Linked DNA regions of Drosophila melanogaster. The protein of the gene in region 1 interacts with the protein of each later gene in a pairwise test. Each region holds a gene or a part of one and is shown on either strand. Other genes may lie near its edges.

Region 1 (4,242 bases):
TCATTTCTCCTTTATTTTTCACCCTAGCAACATAATTATAGTTCAAATTAGCAACAGATTTAATAACCTATTGATCAAAGTAATATGCATTTGTTTTTTTTTTTTGTAATTCCCCATGTAACATCTTCTCACCTGATTATTTTAGTTTTCTTAACCGCGAGAAGCTTTTTGCCACCCGTCCGTACTCCAGCCTCCCGGAAGTGGTCACCATTTACGGAAAACAACCGCCGGGACCACTTATCTATGGCATGCTGCCCAAACCGGCGGTTGTGGGTCGGTGTCCCACCTGCAGCGGCAATCCGGAGCGCACCGAGGTGGCCATACCCGAGCAGCGAACTCCTTGGGCGCCCGAGAGAAAGTCCTGGAACCGGAAGACCCAGGAGCAAGTAAAGCCGCATCGATGCTACCACTGCGGATCTGTAAAGACCAGCGAACGCAAGTACTTCGAGGAATTCTCCTACTCTTACTCCTACGACGAATGATGTAGATCGTGGTTCGTGGGTCAAATAAAAGTAAATTCAAGTTTATTCATCAGGCCTTGGGTATATTTGGTGGCAAAGTGGCGAAGGTGAGGAAGCCCGTGTGACCGGGCAGGGTTTGGGGATTACTGGAGGTCAGGTACTTCTTCACCTCCTTTGGCGCCTTGCTCTCCAAGGCATTTGTTGCCGCCGTCGTCTCATCGGTTTTGGGCAATTTAAGGAACTCAAGATCGATGACGGGCAGCGTGCGCGTCTTCACCACGTTCTCCTGCTGCAGCACCTCCAAGGAAACAATCTCGTTGAAGCCCAGCTTGGTTAGCTCTTGGATGCAGCGCTGCGACTGCTCAATGCAGGGCGAAAACGAACAGAAACGACCTCCTGGAAAGAAAGAGAATGGGAAATCCGGTTATACATTTTTGGTGCCTTTTCTGCTCGACCTCAATTGTAATTACTACATTATAGCTTCTTAAAATTTAAATATATTGGTGGGCAAGCTTTCCCTAACTCTTTTGGTATTGGATATGCCTGACAATTTATTTGTGCCTCCAATACAGTAGCACCCTAGGTTTGGTGCAAACCTGCTGTACATTGGAAGCTCCCATCCGCCTAATGACAAACTCGCCCGGTCAGCCTGCCTTGGCCGCATCAAGTGTCAAAAGCGGGCTCATTCAATGTCAAACACAGTGAAATGGCAGCCGGACTGACTAGCTGACTGGATCTTTGGCTCTTTGGATGGATAACTGACTGACCTACCGACAGTGTTGCAATATAGAAAGCATTGAGGTACCTTTTATCCAATTAGGTACACTTAAGCCCTTTTTTCTTTTTAAAATGGAAGTAAGTTTTTGTTAAGTTATTTTACTATAACTAAAATTTAAGCTGTCTAAACAAAGTTGTCTCCTAGGTACAACTTAGTGTACCAATTTCGACGATTTATTGCATGTATGTGAATGTACCTGGTCATCCCAGTTAACCCAACATATCCGCCTGATTGCCGGATTGCCCGCAAAAGGGCGCTGACAACTAGTTGTCAACGCGATGTTGGCCACTCACCGGACAGCTTCAACGCCTTGAAGGCGTGCGGCACAGCGAGATCGGGCGCGGGCAGATCCAAGAAGACCGCATCGGCCTTTCCGTCCAGTTCCGCACCAAAGCCCAGATTGCAAACGTCCCGGTGATAGACGGTGACGAAGTCAGCGATACCATGTCGCCGGAACTCGTCGCGTGCCTGATCCGCTCGAGCTTCGTGGAAATCGAAGGTGTGCAGGTGGCCAGTGGGTTTCAGTGCTCTTAGAAAGTAATGCGATAGAGACCCCGATCCCGTGCCCGACTCAACCACCACGGCACCGGGTCGGACCTCCAGCTGGTGGATAATCATACTAATATCCGGCGTGTAAATAATCTGTGTGCGGTGGGGCAGTGTTTGTGTCCAGAGTTCCGGCGTCGGCTGAAGGACATGGGCCCAGCCCTTGGAGAGCTCCACTTTACTACCATACTCCACGCCGATGATATCTGGAATAGGAATTGGGATTAGGAGAATCCGTTAAATCTATAACTTTAACTTACTTTCAACTTTTAGCGATCCATAATTGGTCTGAAAAATATGCGGTATTGTTTCGCCCTTTTTGTTCACTATTTCGGGCACCGCTTCGATGGCATGCATGGAACTGACACTCAAATAAAGGATGACCACATCGCCCTTTTCTATGTGGGTCTTGGGTTTCAGAAAACTCATGTTTTTAGTTAAAAACCGTAAGAAGATTTTTTTATTTACAAAATAGCCGCGTGTTTAAGCAATAGAGATGGAAGTTTGGTAATCAACAGGCTATCGATAAGTTTAAGTAAAGTGGCGGGTCAGGGCTACACAAAGTCCAATAATGCATATTTGTACTTTTTGGAAGTTTACATACTAAAAAGTTTAGTAGAACGAATAAACAACTGGTTTTGGTACTAAATAATATATATTGTGTCAGTTAAATGTGTTCGAGATAAATGTTTTGAAATTATCGATAGCAATTAATATCATCAATTTTTCTTCCAGCTCTAGCTTCTCTTCTTCCTTCTTTTGATTTCCGGAGAGGTTTGTGTTTTAATTGTAATGATTATTTTGATTGCAAAAAGCGCTTTAGTGACGTTAATTGCGATGCAAAACTAGACTACCATGTAGTGGCAACGCACTTCTGATGTTTCGTCTTTGTTCTGTTTTTTTCCATGAATTCCTTGGAAATGGTGTTTATTCCGGGTGGTCAATTGGATTCAGAAGCTTTAAAATGGTCCAACGCTTGACTCTGAGACGACGTCTGTCGTACAACACCCGCTCCAACAAGAGGCGCATGTGAGTAGCAGGAGATATGCTGTATATCCCACGATAACTAAGGATTTTCCATTTGTTTACAGTGTGCGCACTCCCGGAGGCCGTCTGGTGTACCAGTACGTGAAGAAGAACCCCACTGTGCCACGCTGTGGTCAGTGCAAGGAGAAACTCCACGGGATCACCCCCTCCCGGCCCAGCGAGCGTCCCAGGATGTCCAAGCGTTTGAAGACCGTCTCCAGGACCTACGGAGGTGTCCTGTGCCACAGCTGCCTGCGAGAGAGAATCGTCCGCGCTTTCCTCATCGAAGAGCAGAAGATCGTCAAGGCTCTGAAGAGCCAGCGCGAGGCTTTGGTCAAGCCCGTCAAGAAGGTTGTGGAGAAGAAGCCGGTGAAGGCTGCCGCCAAGAAGCCCGCGGGAAAGGCAGCCGGAAAGCCAGGTGCCAAAGTCGCCGGCAAGAAGCCCGCTCCCAAGGGCGCTCCTAAAGGAGTCGTCAAGTCCAAGAAGTAACCATTTACCAGAAGGATTTGTTTGGAGCAATGATATTGAACACCTTTTTTTTGTAATAAAGAAACCACAAATTGAAGAAATTAACGTTTTAATTGACAGCTTATTTCCCATTGTTATTAACTTCAAAAACTTAACAAGCGCTTAATTTAAAACATAAATGTGATTATGAAGAATGCTCATTTTTAAACATTTGAATTCTTCAATCAGCTGTTCACGAGATAAACAGCCGGTGAATGCTTCTTCTTCATAAATTGTCATTAACTTTCTCCGTTGACATGTGAGCATTTCAGATTGGTTAAAACTTTTATGATGCCACAAATTGCAAATAAACCAAATGAATCGTAAGTTTAACCATTTAACAAAGAAATAAACATAAATTTAGTAATAAATATTCGCCTCATTAGCATAATAAGAGTGCCGTTTGAGACGCCACGATTGGCCGAGATCGCCTACAAAGTCCTCGGTGTCGACCAGGAGCCGCGCCGGAATTTCGTGAAAAAAACTTTGAGCCTGGAGAACGATGTTCTGGTTGTGCACTTTCAGTCGGATCAAGTGAAGAGCCTGCGCACTGCCATCACCTCCTTCTTTGAGTGCCTGCTCCTGTGCCAGGACACCATCAACCAGTTCGGAGACTCCAAGAAAGAGAAACTAATCCCCGAGAGCAACGACAATGCCGGAACACACTCCAGCTCCGACTCCCCATAGGGCGGTCTATGGTTTCGCCTTCTATATGCTGTTCACGGTCCTCTTCCTCGTATACGTGACTTGGGCGCTGCTGCCAGTGGAGTTTGGTCTGCACTCGTATCTGCCGGACAAGTATTTTGCCGTATTTGTGCCTTTTCTGGTGCTGGTCTTCGCCTGGTTCTTTGCCTTCCTCATCTATCCTGCCATAAATCTATCGATGACAGTGGATGTTGATTCCATTGCCTCGGTGGTGGATCC
Region 2 (3,468 bases), 5.7 Mb from region 1:
GTACGGCTGCGGAGCACGGCGAAAAAATCGCATTTAAAACGGAGCATTATCGGCTTTAGTTCGCTCAAGGCGAGCTTTCTCTTTTATGCACTTAAAAAAAGCATCCACCTTGGATGTCCAAGGGTATATCAACTCGAAAATTGAGTGGTCCCAAATGAACCAGACTGTTTTTAACAATTTTCATATCTATCTCAATTCATATCCTTTGCTCAACTGAAAGATGAAAAAATCTACTACGAAACATTAATAAATAGATTTTATATTATTATTAATATATTCTCTGTAATTATCGAATGTGTGCAAATTAAAAATAAAAGTGGTCGCATATTTTGCAGGGTGTACCAGAATTTTATTTTGATTTCACTGCCACCGCAGCTCATTTCCGTTCTCGAATAAGCAGAGAAGCGAATACACAAGGCTATAGCCATTACGGCTGAGGCTTGGACCACTCGACGCAGAGGATCAAGTGGTCGTAGCCGTGGCCATTAAGAACCTCAATGGCGGCAGCTGCATCCTGGCGGAACTTGAAGTGCACGTAGGCGAATCCCTTGCAGAGGCCGCTGTTTTTTTCGCGCGCCAAATACATCTTGGTGTGTGGTCCGATTTTCTTTACCAGCTCCTCGAGATCAGTCTCGGTCATGGATTCGGATAGGTTTGAGATGCGAACTGCCGACGAATCGTCCCGATCCCGACCCCGTCCCCAATTTTTGCTGCCAGATATGCCTCCGCCGTCCTTCATGAAGGGTGGTACATATTTTCCGGTCTTGCTGGGATCACTTATAGCGGCAGCTGCAGCGGCATTGGCCTTGGTTTCCATCACGGTTTTGCTATCCATCGAGGTGCCCTTGTAGGGACAATTGACACTCCAGTGTTCGCCATTGCAAATGCGGCACTTGGCGATGTTCTTGCCGGGATCAAGTTGGGTTTCGTGGGTCTGGTCGAAATCTTTGGAGCCGATGAATTGCATAAAGATCTCCTCGGAGGCCATTGTCGTCTGGGAATTGGGTCCGGGCTTGTCCGATCGCGAATCCCCAAACTTAACCCAGTTGCGACGACGAGCCACAGCCTTCGGAACAATCTGCTTCTCGATCTTGAAGGTTCGCACCACTTTCACCTTCTTGCCATCATCGTTGAACTTATACTCCGTCACGTACTTGAAGTCGCCCTTAATGTACTCATTAGAAGGCGGCAGTCCATCCACATAGTCCGCATCCACCTCATCGGCCCAGGAAGTAACGAAAGTCTTCATTTTTTATGATTTCCCACACAACCGGTACAAAATGAATTAAAAACTTAGAGATCTCTAGTTTTAGAGAGAGTTTTTCCATTTGAATTTTACTTGGCCTGTTGAGATGGGAAAAAATCCCTTTCAATAAAAGATATTTGAAATTAATATTTATATTTTCTTTAAAGTAATGATTTTTTAATAAAAAATACAACAACTTGAGTAGCAATTCACTAAGATAACTTTGCAACAAAAACATACCATTCAATCAATCTTGATTAAATTATAAATTTTTTTACTTTCATGAGTTGTTCTTAATAATTACATATTGTCTTTAAATTCAATAAATTTATTAATCTTATAGTTATTCCGTAAACAAATAAGTTCTTATCTCTGACTTGAGCATGAAAGTAATCGCTCTCCTACTGATAACAGTACAATTAAAACCGAGCTGAAACTTAATCAAACTTTGAGCTGTTAGTTCACTTTCACTGCTCTAGTCCGTCGGTTGTTCTATTGGCATTAACATGTTGCTTTTGAAGCACCCGAAAACCAGCCAATCAATAGAAATCAATGAGTTTTGGCTCCGTGATCATTGTCGATGTGTGGAGTGTCTAAATTTCGAAACAAATCAGAGGCGATACGATGTCTTAGATCTACCAGCTGATATAATGCCACTAGATGTCAAATACGACGGGATGAATCTACAAGTGCAGTGTAAGAAAAAATTGATGTAAAATGCACCTAGCTTCGATTTTATTGGCCTGCCATTTTAGGGAGTGATGCTCACAAGTCGAACTATGACCTGGACTTTATCTTCGACTCACAGCTGGAGAGGTTGATAGGTCGGCGATCAAAGTCCACTAATCTGACACCATGGAATCGTAGCATTATCTTGCAAAACGAACGGCACTTACGATTCCCATTGCCCCAGCTGGTTTCCAGTGATAACGAAGTCAGATCCCTGGTTGAATCTCTGGTGCGTTATGGCATTGTCTTTATCGATGATGTGGCTCCCACCGCGAATATGACAGAATTGGCTCTGCGACGAGTTTTCCCCCTTATGAAAACGTTCTTTGGCGAAATGTGGACTTTTAGCGATAACCCCGATCACGCGGACACCGCTTATACCAAACTTTACCTGGGTTCCCATACGGATAATACCTATTTCTGCGATGCAGCCGGACTACAGGCTCTACATTGCATTGAGCACTCGGGATCGGGTGGCGAAAATTTCTTTGTTGATGGTCTGCATGTGGTTCACGAACTGAAACGCCGGTATCCCGCCGCTTATGATGTACTGTGCAGTGTCCAAGTTCCTGGAGAGTACATCGAAAAAGGGGAGCACCACTACCACACTGCCCCCATTATACAGGTGGATCCACTGACTCAGGAATTTGTTCAACTCAGACTAAATGTATATGATCGCGCCGTGTTTAATACCATCCCTCAAGCCGAAATGGCCGAGTTCTATGACAGTCTTCGCCAGCTTTTGCTAATCGTCAGGGATAAGCAACAGCAGTGGGCTCTCAAGCTATGTCCCGGCAGCATTGTTCTTTTCGATAACTGGAGAGTGCTCCATGGTCGAGAGGCATACACAGGAAGTCGTACCATGTCCGGTTCCTATGTGCAGCGCACAGATTTTCTCAGCAAGGCTCGAGTGCTGGGAATTATTGACTGAAAGCTTATTGAAAAATACCTAATGTATACCGAATTAAAACCTTTTATGAACTAAGAAATTATGATTTATTTTCTATACTTTCTAGTGCTCCGCATATTCCTTCAGCAATCATTTATGTATTATATGGTCCGTACCGACTTTTATACTTTTTGCAATGGGAAAGTTTCATGCGGATAACTTTAACACTGAGAGATTATTTTGTGGATAGAAGAACATTTAACATTGATCAATAATATATATACTTTACATGTTCGTAGCTGACTCCTTCACTTCGATGCAAGATACTGGCTTAAATCAACATCCTTTCTGCATATATATAAGTTTGCTTTTGATTGCTCAAATAAGAACATATTTTAAATTCGGTTCATATATCAGGAATAGCATACATTGTTAAAGAATCGTTGCGTATAGAAAAAAACACGCAAATTGTTCAAGCATATTTTTCTTTTTTCTGAACCGAGTCCCACTCCAATTCAATTTCGATTGCAAATGCTAACGTATCATAATAAAAAGTTACGATTACAATTGCTGGCCAGCGTCTAATTTTTGTCATAGGGGAGTG
Region 3 (4,612 bases), on another chromosome or scaffold:
CCGGCTAATGGTCTCGTAGTGCCGGAAGAACTTGTTCAGCGGCAGCGCAAAGTACGTGTCGAAGCAGAGCAGCAGCACTAGGATGGCGGTCACGAAGTAGTAGATGGCCGAAGTCCTCTTGGACGAGAAGATCTCACCGCATATCAAGGCCATGGCGGTGGTGAAGCAGCCGCTGATGTTGGAGCCCAGGACGACGGCGCCTGTGTACTTGATGGGCAACGATGCCACTATTCCGTATATGGTGTTCTGGTAGATGCCGTTGCACACGTTTAACAACACAATGCACACCATGGTGGTCCAGAAGAAGACGCCCGGCCACTGCGAGGAGTCGAGCATGGCCAAAATAATGGTAACCAGCAGAATGACCATTTCGAAGATGATGCTGTAGACGATTCGGGTGGTCAGGTCGCCGCCAAAGTTGACAAAGATGTTCAGCCAGTTGAAGACCAGGTTAGGAATCTGCGAGGCAAAGCCCATATTTTGCATGAAATGGGTGCGGTAACTCACTTCCGTGGCCACGGTGTTGTTTGGTCCGAACTTGAAGTCCTCGAAATAGGACTTGGCCGTGATGAACATGTTCCATGGCATCAGCGTGCCCACGCCGTGCAGCAGGAATATAAAGAACACGATAAGGAATTTATCTTTTGGCGCTGGCAGGCCCAGTTTCGCCAACACCGACGTTGATCCCTTGCCGTTGGAATCATGGGGCGGCAACTTGGATTCCCACGAGGGATTTAACGTCACCGGCGCCTGCTGTTTGCCAATAAAAGGCGACTTCTCCGATTTAGCCTCCGCCATATCTGCGCGACTTCTGTTCTGCTCTGGCTCGGATTTCTTTCTGGTTCTGCTGATGCGGGCGACAGCAGTTATTGGGGCGTGTGCTTGAGGCGTTTGCTTGAAACCCGAAAACTTGCGCGGTCAGTTATTTTCGCGGTGGCCACAAAACCGGTAGGAGGGCGGGAAGGTTTGATTTTCCCTGCGCCTGCGACAGCACTCTGATTTCGGGATTAGGGTATATCCTCGTGGCGGGGGGTTCGCCTGGAACTAGTGGTCACGTGGAGACGCAACTGCAGTGCCCGAAGAGCGCTGATTACAACACAGATCCAATCAAAGGTTAAAACCGCACCGCACTACAAGATTATCGCCGCGTTGTATCAGCTGTACTCGATCGAACGGCGTTGCCACACCGTTGAAAATTATGATTTATGGGCGTCGATACAAGCGATTTGAGGGGTGCCGTTACGCATGGGCGCAGTCCTTCCCTTCCGTAATCGCCAAGAGGGACCGTAAGTATGGGCAGTAAATAATGTATTTTTGGCAATGATTATTACTTAGTCATAGTAATTCAAGGTATTTACTCACACTTTCACCATCCCTGTTAGCTACACCCATGTTCAACTTAAGCATTCATAGCAACCAACTCTACTTATTAAAGCACAACAGCAAACAGCCACTTATCTCAAAAATGGGTAATGTATGTACATATTTGTTGTATATTATTTTTGTGTATATTTTAACTAGGAGTATTGATATTGTGCTTGAATGTTCTAATTGCATGATCAAAAATTAATTAGTTAAAGTAAATGAAATTTTTGGTATAAGTACTCATGGTTATTTCTTAATTAGAATTGTGAAACATTTGGCCAAGCAACAGGTAATGGAGCTGCCAGATCAGTCAAATATCAATCCAAATATTCTTGTTTGCATAAATGAATTTGTATTGCCAAATTAAGAAAATAATTTGTTGTTAATTATAGCTCTTTATTTAAAATTTCGTTACTAATCACATGCAACAGGTGACTAGATTACCAGATTTTGTCCGTTTTCCAGCACTGAATTTCTCTTCCTCTTCTCTATAGAATTTGCGGCTTTCGTTTGTTTTCGACAAACACGTTGTTTATAAGAATTATAACATAGAGTTGCAACCATGGCCACCGAAGAGGACATCCCCAGAATCCAATTGGGCGACTACATCGTCATCCAGCGGCAGAAATATACGAAGCTACAAAAATTCGGCAGTCTGGACACCACGGCCACATTGGGCAAAGAAACACTGGAGCTGAAGTCTCTTTTGGACCAACCCTATGGCTCCACGTTCAAGATGTGCGTCAAAGAGACAAAGCCGGGTAAAAGGGGCGCCCAGAGACAACACACCTTGGAGCTGTGCAGCGAGACTGAGCTGAGAAGCACGCGAGAGGTTCTGGGCATCTCCAGCAGTGGAGCGGATAATCGGGACATCCGGGATGATGGAGAAGCGCAGACCCTGAAACCAGAGGACATTGCGCAGCTGCGTGAGGAGTGCAACGACTCCAGCAAAATCATCGAGAAGCTGGTGGAGAATTCTAAGACTTTCCACAACCGAACGGAGTACTCCCAAGAGAAGTACCTGCTAAAGAAGGAGAAAAAGTATTTCGAGTTCGTTCAAATCCGCCAGCCAACGATCCGTCTGATGCTGGACATCTTCTACCGCCAAGACTCGGAAAAGGTCATGGGCATTCGCGTTGACACTTTATCGCAAATTATTTCTTACTCGGGCGTTTGTGGATTCGGCAGCTATCTGCTGTACGAGAGTGGTACCAATGGTCTACTGCCGGCTGCCATGCTCAACTCTATAGGCGCAGGCACGGAGGGCACCCTGGTGCACATGCACCCGGGCAATGTGCCCCAGAAGCAGGCGCTCTCAGCTCTGAAACTACCCCTGGAGCAGCAACAGCGATGTGTTTCCGTTAATCTCTATTCCGTTTTAAGGGAGTTTTACCAAGGAGGGGACGCGAAGGCCACAGATATTCCCGTTGTGGAGCCCAGTGAAAACGAACCTCAGGAAACCCAGCTGGAGACGCCAACGGAGGAACAACCTGAGGCGATAGAACCGACCACAAAGAAACCCAAGCTGGATGAGTCAAATAGTGGTAGAGAAGGTATTGGTCACAATAGTAAACTAATCAAGACAAGTACAAATACTATTTCTGTTGTTATAGGAGCAAAGGGACCTCCGCGCTGGCATTTGGAAAACAAGCGGGCCACGGCCCTGATGCACGCCGAATTCGACAGTCTGGTGGTGGCCGCCAAGGAGCACCCATCCAACATTCTGCAAGCCCTGCTGCCTCTTGTGAAACCCTCAAGACCCGTGGTGGTATTCAGCACCTGCAAGGAGCTGTTACAAGAGACATTCATGGAGCTGAAAACAACAGGCAAGGTGACGGGTCTGCACTTGACCTCGAACTGGCTGCGCACCTACCAGATCCTGCCCAATCGCACACATCCGGAAGTGAATATGAGCGGAAATAGTGGCTACCTTTTGACGGGCTATACGCTTAGATAGTTGTTGTGCGTCTAACAAATACATGTAAGCCTTTGTTTTGATAATATCATGCAATGTTTAATGCCAGCTGAGGATCATGCCAAGTGTGTTCGTGTTAAGTACAGCGCTCTGTGTGATCGATCTAAACGGGTGGGACATTCTTGAGGATGAAGTAGTGGCCGCACTCGCACCGCTTCGGTCCCTCGTCCTTCTCAATCCACATCCACTTGGGCAAGCGGTCATCCAGGCACAGACAGCCTACGAGGCGTGCATCGAACGCCGATGGCACGACGGTGGGGTCGTTCTCCCTTCCCGATCCGCGCCTGATCACCTTGCTGAAACCCCAAGGGTCCTCGCAGCCCTGCTTGGCCAGCAGCATTTCGCGCTTCTGAATCCCGGTGACCAGTTGATCGTCCGCAATTAGCGCTAATCGGGCATGAGACCTGAACTGGAGATCTTTGCAAGCTGCAACCACTACTTACCTGACTTTTGCACCTGAGTTGTGGATATGGGACGCTGTTGAGGAGCAGCGGCTGATCCTTGCCACTGTAAACCTAGTCGTCGAAGCAAAGAGCTTAGCTTTCCGTCGCGCTGGGTTAAATTGGAGATCAGACGTTTGGAGGCGGACTGAGCCTTAAGTAGACGCGAAATGTAGGACGACATTTTTAAAGGAGTTTATCTAGAAAATTATGGTTATCACACGAGAATTTCCCACTTTGAGTGAGTTGAATCTGATCAAAGGGTTTTGAAAATGTTTGATTTCTTATTAAGACGCCTACTGCCTTATTAAAATTAAATTAGTTCTGCGATTTTAAACATTTTTAAACGAAATTCAACTTTCTTCTGTCTTTAGACAAGCTTTTTTAAAATAAATCCTTTGATTTTCACTCAAAATCTCTTCTTTAGACTTTATTGTTCGCTTTTTGTGTTAATTAAGCAATTTTCCTCGGCTGCGTTCGAAAACACGTTTGCAGATCTGAAAATGGAAGCTGTGCCGCCCTTTCACTCCTCTCTGTTCACAGTTTCGTTTTTTTTTTTTTTTTTGGGTTGATGTTTGTTTATTTGGACAGCTAAGTGGGTTGACTTTTAGCTTAGTAGTTGTTGTGTTTTTGTTATTAATTGGTTTATTGAATTAATTAATAATAACTTTAAACAGCTGCCTTCTCCACCAGCTTGAACCAATGGCCGCACTCACAACGTTTCTGGTTGCCCTTCTGCAGCCACATCCATTGCACGTAGGTCTGATCCTCTTCGCCTGGTTTGGAATGAAAGGTTTGTTAGAAAGTACTCTACTGGAATGATGGGCTTTAT

What was found.
Region 2: the proteins of Trmt61 (region 1) and Tmlh interact in a two-hybrid assay, tested with the Drosophila melanogaster proteins (one large-scale study listed by BioGRID).
Region 3: the proteins of Trmt61 (region 1) and Trmt6 interact in a two-hybrid assay, tested with the Drosophila melanogaster proteins (one large-scale study listed by BioGRID).

What each region holds. Positions count from the first base shown.
Region 1 is NT_033777.3:26,057,552-26,061,793, reverse strand, and holds Trmt61 (tRNA methyltransferase 61), read right to left. Parts: upstream 2,299-4,242; 5' UTR 2,215-2,298; coding exon 2,046-2,214; intron 1,992-2,045; coding exon 1,533-1,991; intron 858-1,532; coding exon 532-857; 3' UTR 501-531; downstream 1-500. Other genes in the region: CG14551 (uncharacterized protein), read left to right, coding at 146-482; RpL34a (ribosomal protein L34a), read left to right, coding at 2,750-2,814, 2,877-3,300; Tcs6 (Threonyl-carbamoyl synthesis 6), read left to right, coding at 3,607-3,641, 3,705-4,005; PIG-P (phosphatidylinositol glycan anchor biosynthesis class P), read left to right, coding at 3,971-4,242.
Region 2 is NT_033777.3:20,406,108-20,409,575, reverse strand, and holds Tmlh (trimethyllysine hydroxylase), read left to right. Parts: upstream 1-1,704; 5' UTR 1,705-1,752; coding exon 1,753-1,942; intron 1,943-2,001; coding exon 2,002-2,906; 3' UTR 2,907-2,961; downstream 2,962-3,468. Other genes in the region: eIF3g2 (eukaryotic translation initiation factor 3 subunit g2), read right to left, coding at 428-1,249.
Region 3 is NT_033779.5:6,558,883-6,563,494, reverse strand, and holds Trmt6 (tRNA methyltransferase 6 non-catalytic subunit), read left to right. Parts: upstream 1-1,834; 5' UTR 1,835-1,927; coding exon 1,928-2,918; intron 2,919-2,978; coding exon 2,979-3,322; 3' UTR 3,323-3,443; coding exon of another isoform or gene 3,444-3,727; 3' UTR 3,728-3,783; coding exon of another isoform or gene 3,784-3,964; 3' UTR 3,965-4,069; downstream 4,070-4,612. Other genes in the region: Ent2 (equilibrative nucleoside transporter 2), read right to left, coding at 1-798; COX5BL (cytochrome c oxidase subunit 5B-like), read right to left, coding at 3,444-3,727, 3,784-3,964; COX5B (cytochrome c oxidase subunit 5B), read right to left, coding at 4,450-4,556.